2 linked regions of the Macaca fascicularis genome follow. The protein of the gene in region 2 purifies or fractionates together with the protein of the main gene of each other region. This does not show direct contact. Links are inferred from orthologs where the notes say so. Each region holds a gene or a part of one and is shown on either strand. Other genes may lie near its edges. The genes, in order: DNM2 and SNX33.

Region 1 (4,406 bases), on a different chromosome or scaffold from region 2:
GCTTTTGTCACTGACAGCAAAGGAACCAGCCAGATAAACAACAACAGCCCTATCCATGTAGACCTACTATGTGCCAGGCACTGCATTAGGTAAGCACTTCCTTTTCTTTTCTTTTTTTTGAAACAGGATCTGGTTCTGTCACCCAGGCTGGAGGGTAATGGTGCGATCACAGCTCACTGCAGTCTGGACATCCTGGGCTCAAGCAATCCTCCCAGGGCCAGCCTCGTGAGTTGCTTGGACTACAGGTGTGGGACTACTACCCTACCTGGCTACTTGTTTTATTTTTTGTAGAATGGTGTCTTGTCATGTTACCCAGGCTGGTCTTGAACTCCTGGGGCCCGACCTGGTGGCTCACGCCTGTAATCCCAGCACTTTGGGAGGCCAAGGCGAGAGGATCACTTGAGGTAAGGAGTTCGAGACCAGCCTGGCCAACATGGTGAAACCCCGTCTCTACTAAAAATACAAAAATTAGTTGGGCATGGTAGTGGACGCCTGTAATCCCAGCTACTCGGGAGGCTGAGGCAGGAGAATCGCCTGAATCTGGGAGGCAGAGGTTGCAGTGAGCCAAGATCATGCCACTGCACTCCAGCCTGGGAGACAGAGCGAGACTCTGTCTCAAAAAAAAAAAAACAAAAAAAAAAAACTTGTTTAGGAGTGTCAACCAAGACTTAGAGAAGCCAAGACAACCTGTGCAAGGTCACAAGGCATGTGAAAGAGACAGAGCTTTGCAAACACTGTGGTAAGACAGAAGGCAATGAGCCAGAGACAAGGTAGCAAAGGAGGAAATTCGTGCTGCTGGGAGGAAAGCCCCAAGGCTCTGGGATAGCAGACACAAGGCTTTACGCCAGCCTGGTGGCCTTGGGTGAACACAGTTCCTTCTAAGCCTCCCAGCTCAGCTAACGTGGGGATGGTAACACAGCCTCCACCCCACTCCTTACTTGGGATTCAAGATGTTGAATCAAGAAAAACATTATCCCTTGACACTGATAAAAACAATAACAAGCCGGGCGCGGTGGCTCAAGCCTGTAATCCCAGCACTTTGGGAGGCCGAGACGGGCGGATCACGAGGTCAGGAGATCGAGAGACGATCCCGGCTAACACGGTGAAACCCCGTCTCTACTAAAAAATACAAAAAAAAAGCCGGGCGAGGTGGCGGGCGCCTGTAGTCCCAGCTACTCGGGAGGCTGAGGCAGGAGAATGGCGTAAACCCGGGAGGCGGAGCTTGCAGTGAGCTGAGATCCGGCCACTGCACTCCAGCCTGGGTGACAGAGCAAGACTCCGTCTCAAAAAAAAAAAAAAAAAAAAAAAAACAATAACAATGACAATAATGACAGGAGGAGGATGTTATCATTTGGCAGCCACACCACTACAAATGAGTAGTTCCTGGAATGGAGAAGTGGCCGCCCATCTGGGAGACAAGAAAGGCAAGAGGGGTTGGTGGGAGGGAGAGGTGGCTGCACGGGCTGTTCTCATTCATTTGCTTCCTGAATCCTGGAAACAGCCCAGAGAGTGGAGTCTGCCCACTGGACAGATGGGCACACCGCGGCTTCTCAGGGCTGTCCAGAGAAGGCTACATCCCAGGGCTAGCCACTGAGGCCTGGTCACGCGAGAAGCCCCTTCCCAGGCTCCAAAGGAGGGCCCCCAATTGGCAGGCTGTAGCTGGGAGGCGGGCCCTGTGTTCTAGCACCCTGAAAGGAATCCTGAAGTAAGGTACCCCCAGGGTCCTCCTTCTAGCTGACAGGGGAAGTAGGGTTCAAACCTCATCCTTCAGCTGTATTCTCCCCTCTACCCTCCTGCCACCCACTTCCAGAGGCGCTGGGCCAGACACTCAGGGGTAGTCATGCGCAGAACAGGAGATGGCCAGACAGACAGAAGAATGACGGAAGAGAGGACCAGCTCTAGGCAGGGACTAAGCTCTAAGAGTCAGCCTGAGAGAATCAAACAGGGTCCCCTAGGAGTCAGCTAGCCAGTCAGACAGTGGAGGCCAGCTGGTGTCACCCAACAGAGGGACTGCTCAGTGTTAAAGTCTGTGAGGGGCACGGATGGGCGGCCAGACAGCAGAGGTCACCCTTTACAGCTAGCCAGACAGCAGGGGGCTGCCAGGTGGGACTGGACAGATGGACAACCAAATGGTTGTGGCAGGGAGGCTTGCCCAGGACAGAGAGACAGCCAACCAGATGGCGGGGGCAGCTCCAGATACAAGAACAAGCCAGCCAGACCGCAGGGGTCGCCCCAGTAGATATCTAGATGGCCGGTTTCACCTCTGATAAACAGCCCGAAAGAGCAGAAGAGGGATCTACCCCAGACCCACGGGCAACCAGACGGCAGAGTTCACCCACGAAAGCTGGGACCAGATGGACCGCAGGATTCCAGCACACCTCCGGTCCTACGGCCCCCCGGCCCATGACGCCGCCCCTGGGGCCCAGGCCCGCTCCCGAGCCCCTGCAGGGAGTCCTCTGCCCAGGGCGTCCCACAGGGCCCGCCTCCCCGACCCCGTCCGGTTCCCCGCCGCCGGCACGCAAGCGCCGCAGTTACGCCGGCGGCGCAGGGAGCGCCATTCCCGGTCCGCCCTCCGCGCCCTAGGCCGCCGCCCGCCCGCGATCCCTGCCGCGCCCGCTTACCGGCCCACGAAGTTCTCCAGCACCGAGCTCTTGCCGGCGCTCTGGCCGCCCACCACAGCGATCTGCGGCAGGTCCAGGTGGCAGCTCTGGCCGATGGAGCTGAAGGCGTCCTGCAGCTTGTTGACCAGCGGGATCAGCTCTTCCATCCCGCGGTTGCCCATGGCGCCGGCGGCCCCCGGCCCGAGCGCCCTGCGCTCCCCGCCGCCGCCGACCCTCAACGACCTGGCCCCGCGGCGTCTGTAGCCGTTGCTCTCCGCCCGCCCGGGCCTCGGCAAGACACCCGCTCCCGGCTCGGCCTCACGGTCGCCGCCTCATCCGGTTCTCAGGCTACACCCGACCCAAGCGACCTCCCGCCCCGGCCCCAGGGCTGCGCACAAATCACTCGCGCCGCACGCGATTGGCCTGCTGCGCCGCCACTCGGGCACACTAGCCAATAAAAACGAGGCACAAGCCAATGGTTGAGTAAACCTTCCCCCTGAGGACCGTCTTGCTGGTTTATTGGACAAAAGAACCGTCACTGTTGTGCAAAAGCCAATAGCGGCAGAAAGCAAGTTGTCAAGAGAGGAAGGAGGTGTTTCAGAAAAAATGCACTTTGGCTCCGCCCATTGGCGAGGTTACACCATCTTATTGGCAGGCAGACGTGCCAGTCGACAATGTGGACCAATGATGTTAGGGATTGAGCTACTACCTAGTTCCCTAAGAATTTCCCATTGGTTCATATAAATATCACTTCGTTGCTCCAGCCAACCAGGCAAAAGAGGGCGGGGTGTAACATCCGAATCTTCACTATGATTGAGAACCATATCTGTCAATCAGAAAAACTCGCGTTCTTCCCCTGTGATTGTTGGATATCTGCAACAGTCTTCTGAAGTACAGGATAGGTCCCACCGTACTCGCTCAAGGGCGACACCTCGTGGTGGGATCCGATGTCTCGATTTTTGAGTTTCCTGGCTCTGGGGAAAACTACAAGTCCCAGAACGCATCTCAGTGCCCAGACTGCAAACCAACTCTGGGACCAGGGTCCCAATGCACTCTGTAAATGGGTAAGGCCAAGTCATTGCTTCCCAGAGACAGAACGCAGTAAAATCACTCCTCCTCCACGCCTTTGCAAATACTGTGCCCTTTCTGCTCACGCCCGATCTTGACGCCGCTAACGCTCCAAAGTTTTTTCCCCGGCTTCTTCAACTTTAGCAGAGCATGAATCTTTTTTTTTCTCTTTTTGAGACGGGGTTTCACTCTGTCACCCAGGCTAGAGTGCAGTGGCGCGATCTTGGCTCACTGCAACCTCTGCCTCCCCAGTTCAAGCAATTCTCCTGCCTCAGCCTCCCGAATAGCTGGGATTACAGGTGCACGCCACCACACCCAGCTAATTTTGTATTTTTAGTAGACAGAAAGGGTTTCACCATATTGGCCAGGCTGGTCTCGAACGCCTGGCCTCAAGTGATCTGCCCATCTTGGCCTCCCAAAGTGTTGGGATTACAGGCGTGAGTCACCGCGTCTAGCCAATGAATCTTCCTTTCCTAGAGACTGGGTCTTGCTCTGTTGCCCAGGCTGGAGTGCAGTAGTGGACTCATAGCTCAATTCAACAAGCACTTGGGCTCAAACGATCCTCCCGCCTCAGCGTCCCAAGTAGCTGGAACCACAGGCATGCCCTGAGTCAACTATGCCCAGCTAATTATTTTTATTTTATTTTTTATAGAGACAGGGTCTTGCTGTGTTGTCCAGGCTGGTCTCAAACTCCTGGGCCCAAACGACTGTCACAGACCAGCCTCCCAAAAGTGCTGG
Region 2 (4,371 bases):
TTCATGGCACTGACTAGTCACACTGGGCAGGGAGCATTTGTCTACTTGTCACAATACATCTGAGCTTTTGGAAAATAAGGATAATGTCTTAATTGTCTTTGTAGCTCAGGGGCCTGGTGCAGAGTAGATACTCAGTTAATGTTTCTTGAGTGCATGACTTGGCTGAATGAATGACAGAGAATGGATTGATTAAAGACAAGAGAGGATGGACTGTAAGCCCCCCAGGATAGGAACCCCGACTGACTTGTGGTGTACTCCCCAGTGCCCAGCACAGTGCCTAGCAGATTCAGTGCCCAAAGTGTTCCAGATATGCTGACCGAGGATCAGATCCCACTTGCCTCAAGACTCTCTACCTGACCACCTCTCTCCTTGCTGCCCCTGGCTAGTACAGAACATCCAGTCCCGCTGCCGCACTAAGCAACACGGAACCGGGTGGCACCTAGACTTGTTCCCTGTCGCTGCAGATGTAGGGTAGTGTCTTTCCCTCCTTCCAAGCTAGTCGCCCAGGGCAGGGTCGCCCTATCTGGCTAGGGTGCTGCACCCTCAGCTGTCGGTATCTTAGGTCAGACGCCCGGAACGCGCAGGCCGTTTCTACCCCTCCGGAAAACAATCTCCGAGCTGCGCCACGACCCCGTCCCTGCGGAGCAGGAGTGAGGAATGGGAAGGTGGGAAGGCGAGCCCGCGACTCTGCTCCCCAACCCCAGCTGGCACGGCTTTTCACGCACCTCTCCCCGCCCGGCCCGATTTCCCCATCCTGGCTCTGGCGCGGTGCTCCTTGCAGCCCCACGCTTTGCAAACTTTGGGAGTTTTACTCCATTTGCGTCACGGAAAAGGCAGGAGGATGACGGAGTCCAGGAAGCGAGGCAGCAGTGGCTGGCAAGCTCCACCGCCGGGCGCTCCAACCACGGGGGCGTGAGGTGTCTCCCGGCGAGGGCAGACAGACGGAGGGAGAGCAGAGGAGGTGGCGGTCCCAGAGACCAGCCCCGGAGGCTCTCGGGCTCCCTCGTTCCCGGGTCGTTTCCTCCCTCTTGCCTCCGGGACTGAGCGAGGGCACTGGCCAGATGGGAAGCCGCGCGGAGGAGTAGGCGGGGGCTCGGCTGCAGCGCCCCGGGCCCGCGGGAGGGCGGAGCTGGCCGTCCCTGCCCCGCCGGGACGCACGGAAGTGCAGCGGAGTTTGCCCGATTCTCCAGCCTGCTTCCCCCTCCCTCCTCCCTCTCCCCACCCCTCACCTCCCCTTTGGCGATCCCCTCCTTCCTCGGGACGCCACCTCCCGGAATCGCGTTTTTGTTTTGGAGCTGCCTTCTCGCTGGCGGCGCGGAGGGTCTGCGAGCGCAGGGGAAGGCAGGCTGGGGGCGCAGCCCGCCCCCCACTGGCCGGGTCCCGCAGGGCGGAGCGGAGGACGGACGGACAGACGGCCAGCCGCGCCATCTGCTCGCCGGAGCTCACTCTCCAAACTCCAAACTGTTGAGTGTGTGCGTGCACGCGAGGGTGGGGGTCGGGGGTCGTAAGTCCCGGGTGAAGAACTGGTTTCTGCTGGGGTTACCTTTGGACGGGGTTCCTGGGATTCAGAGCAGGGTCAGCGTCAGTCTCAGAAACTGCTGAGGAATTAGGCAAACAAAAGAGACCACTCAGCGACTGGCCAGAAGTCGCCCGACCGCCTCGTCGCGCCCCCTCCTTCCTCCGGGGTTGGGACTGGCCACTTCTGGGGCGGGGAGAGGGCGCCCGAGCCGGCGGGGGCTCCGGCTGCGCAGCCGGGGTCGAAGAGTTGGCGGCCTGTTGTGTAAGCCTCAGTCCTTGTTTTCCCGGCCTGGCTCGTTGTGAAGCCGGACACATCCACCCTTGGACTCGATTCAGGCGGCTGCTGCTTTTCTCCTTGCCCCTCTTGGATTTTCCGGATATTTGAAAACCCAGTGGCCCAGGAGCAAGAGGAGGAGGAAGGAGGAAGGGGCAGATCTGCAGAGGAATGTGAGAGCCTCCCAAAGCCAGAGTGGCCAAAAGAATCTGGGAGCCAGAGGGACAGCCGAGCCCTGCCTGGGTTTCTGGAATGGTGGTTTCCGAGTGAGTCTCTTCTATTTTAGAACGTTGTTCCAGTGGAAAGTGTCGAAATTTTCCCCTCGCAGGGCAGATTTCTCCAGGTCACTTGACTTTTCTTCTGGGAGTAGGAGTTAGGAGAGACTCCCCTCTAATCCCCCAGGGGCTGCTAAGGGAGGAGGCTATGGACATGAGCCCTCCCTGCTCACAAGCATATGCCCGGAGACCTGATAGGGCAGTTTCTGGGCCGTGGACATTGCTTTGAAGAGCAGAAGATTGGACAGCATCTGTGGGTGCTGAGACCCCACCTTAGGACCTGAGAGATTGAACTGTGTAAGCGCCATTCAGCTGCGAGTGCATTCTTGGACTTCCTTGTGAGCATCCCGGGTCTGGACAGGACCCTCTCCTTCCCATCTGTCTGTACCACCCAGCCCAACCATGGCACTGAAAGGCCGAGCCCTCTATGACTTTCACAGTGAGAACAAGGAGGAAATCAGCATCCAGCAGGATGAGGACCTGGTCATCTTCAGCGAGATCTCACTGGATGGCTGGCTGCAGGGCCAGAACAGCCGTGGGGAGACAGGGCTCTTTCCTGCCTCTTACGTGGAGATCGTCCGTTCTGGCATCAGCACCAACCATGCTGACTACTCCAGCAGCCCTGCAGGCTCTCCGGGGGCCCACGTGAGCTTGTACAATAGCCCCAGTGTGGCCAACCCAGCTAGGAGTGGTGGGGGCAGTGGCTTCCTCTCAAACCAGGGTAGCTTCGAGGAGGATGATGATGATGATTGGGATGACTGGGACGATGGATGCACAGTGGTGGAGGAGCCACGGGCTGGTGGGCTGGGCACCAATGGGCACCCTCCCCTCAACCTCTCCTACCCTGGTGCCTACCCCAGCCAGCACATGGCCTTCCGGCCCAAGCCACCACTGGAGCGGCAGGACAGCCTGGCATCTGCCAAGCGAGGCAGTGTGGTGGGCCGTAACCTCAACCGTTTCTCATGCTTTGTGCGTTCTGGAGTGGAGGCCTTCATCCTGGGTGATGTGCCCATGATGGCCAAGATCGCTGAGACATACTCCATTGAAATGGGCCCTCGTGGCCCCCAGTGGAAGGCCAACCCCCACCCATTTGCCTGCTCTGTGGAGGACCCCACAAAACAGACCAAGTTCAAGGGCATCAAAAGCTACATCTCCTACAAGCTCACACCCACCCATGCTGCCTCACCTGTCTACCGGCGCTACAAACACTTTGACTGGCTCTATAACCGCCTGCTACACAAGTTCACTGTCATCTCAGTGCCCCACCTGCCTGAGAAGCAGGCCACAGGCCGCTTCGAGGAGGACTTCATTGAAAAGCGGAAGCGGAGACTCATCCTCTGGATGGACCACATGACCAGCCACCCTGTGCTCTCCCAGTACGAAGGCTTCCAGCATTTCCTTAGCTGCCTAGATGACAAGCAGTGGAAGATGGGCAAACGCCGGGCGGAGAAGGATGAGATGGTGGGTGCCAGCTTCCTGCTCACCTTCCAGATCCCCACCGAGCACCAGGACCTGCAGGACGTGGAAGATCGCGTGGACACTTTCAAGGCCTTCAGTAAGAAGATGGATGACAGTGTCCTGCAGCTCAGCACCGTGGCGTCAGAGCTGGTGCGTAAACACGTGGGGGGCTTCCGCAAGGAATTCCAGAAGCTGGGCAGTGCCTTCCAGGCCATCAGTCATTCCTTCCAGATGGACCCCCCTTTTTGCTCTGAGGCCCTCAACAGTGCCATTTCTCACACGGGCCGTACCTATGAAGCCATCGGGGAGATGTTTGCTGAGCAGCCCAAGAATGACCTCTTCCAGATGCTGGACACACTGTCTCTCTACCAGGGCCTGCTCTCTAACTTCCCTGACATCATCCACCTACAGAAAGGTAAGACCCAGTGCAGGCAGGAAACCCATCCTGAGTCTGACTCTCTGCTGGGCCCTGGGGAGATGGGGATGGCCTGGATAGAATGGAGCAACTTATCTTTATTTCTCTGTCTCAATCATTCATTTAACAAATGTGTTGGACTGGGCATGGTGGCTCATGCTTGTAATCTCAGCACTTTGGGAGGTTGAAGTAGGAAGATCAATCACTTGGACCCAGGAGGTTGAGACTACAGTGAGCCCGATTGTGCCACTTCACTCCGGCCTGGGTGACAGAGTGAGACCCTGTCTCTAAAACAAACAAACAAACAAACATGTTGAGTATCAACTCTGTATCTGTGCAAATGTGCTTCTAGGTACAGGAATATTGTTGTGCACAGGCCTGGTCTCTGTCCTCATGGAGCTTGATATTTACCTTCTTGTCAATTCATTCAT

The links.
Region 1: the proteins of SNX33 (region 2) and DNM2 purify together in Homo sapiens (co-immunoprecipitation; 3 studies listed by BioGRID and IntAct, with this or other methods). This does not show direct contact. The link is inferred for Macaca fascicularis from reciprocal best matches to the Homo sapiens genes SNX33 and DNM2.

What each region holds. Positions count from the first base shown.
Region 1 is NC_088393.1:11,284,697-11,289,102, reverse strand, and holds the start of DNM2 (dynamin-2), read right to left. Parts: upstream 2,946-4,406; 5' UTR 2,783-2,945; coding exon 2,622-2,782; intron 1-2,621. UniProt on the Homo sapiens protein: Catalyzes the hydrolysis of GTP and utilizes this energy to mediate vesicle scission at plasma membrane during endocytosis and filament remodeling at many actin structures during organization of the actin cytoskeleton.
Region 2 is NC_088381.1:52,871,723-52,876,093, forward strand, and holds the start of SNX33 (sorting nexin-33), read left to right. Parts: upstream 1-1,278; 5' UTR 1,279-2,469; coding exon 2,470-3,940; intron 3,941-4,371. UniProt on the Homo sapiens protein: Plays a role in the reorganization of the cytoskeleton, endocytosis and cellular vesicle trafficking via its interactions with membranes, WASL, DNM1 and DNM2. Acts both during interphase and at the end of mitotic cell divisions.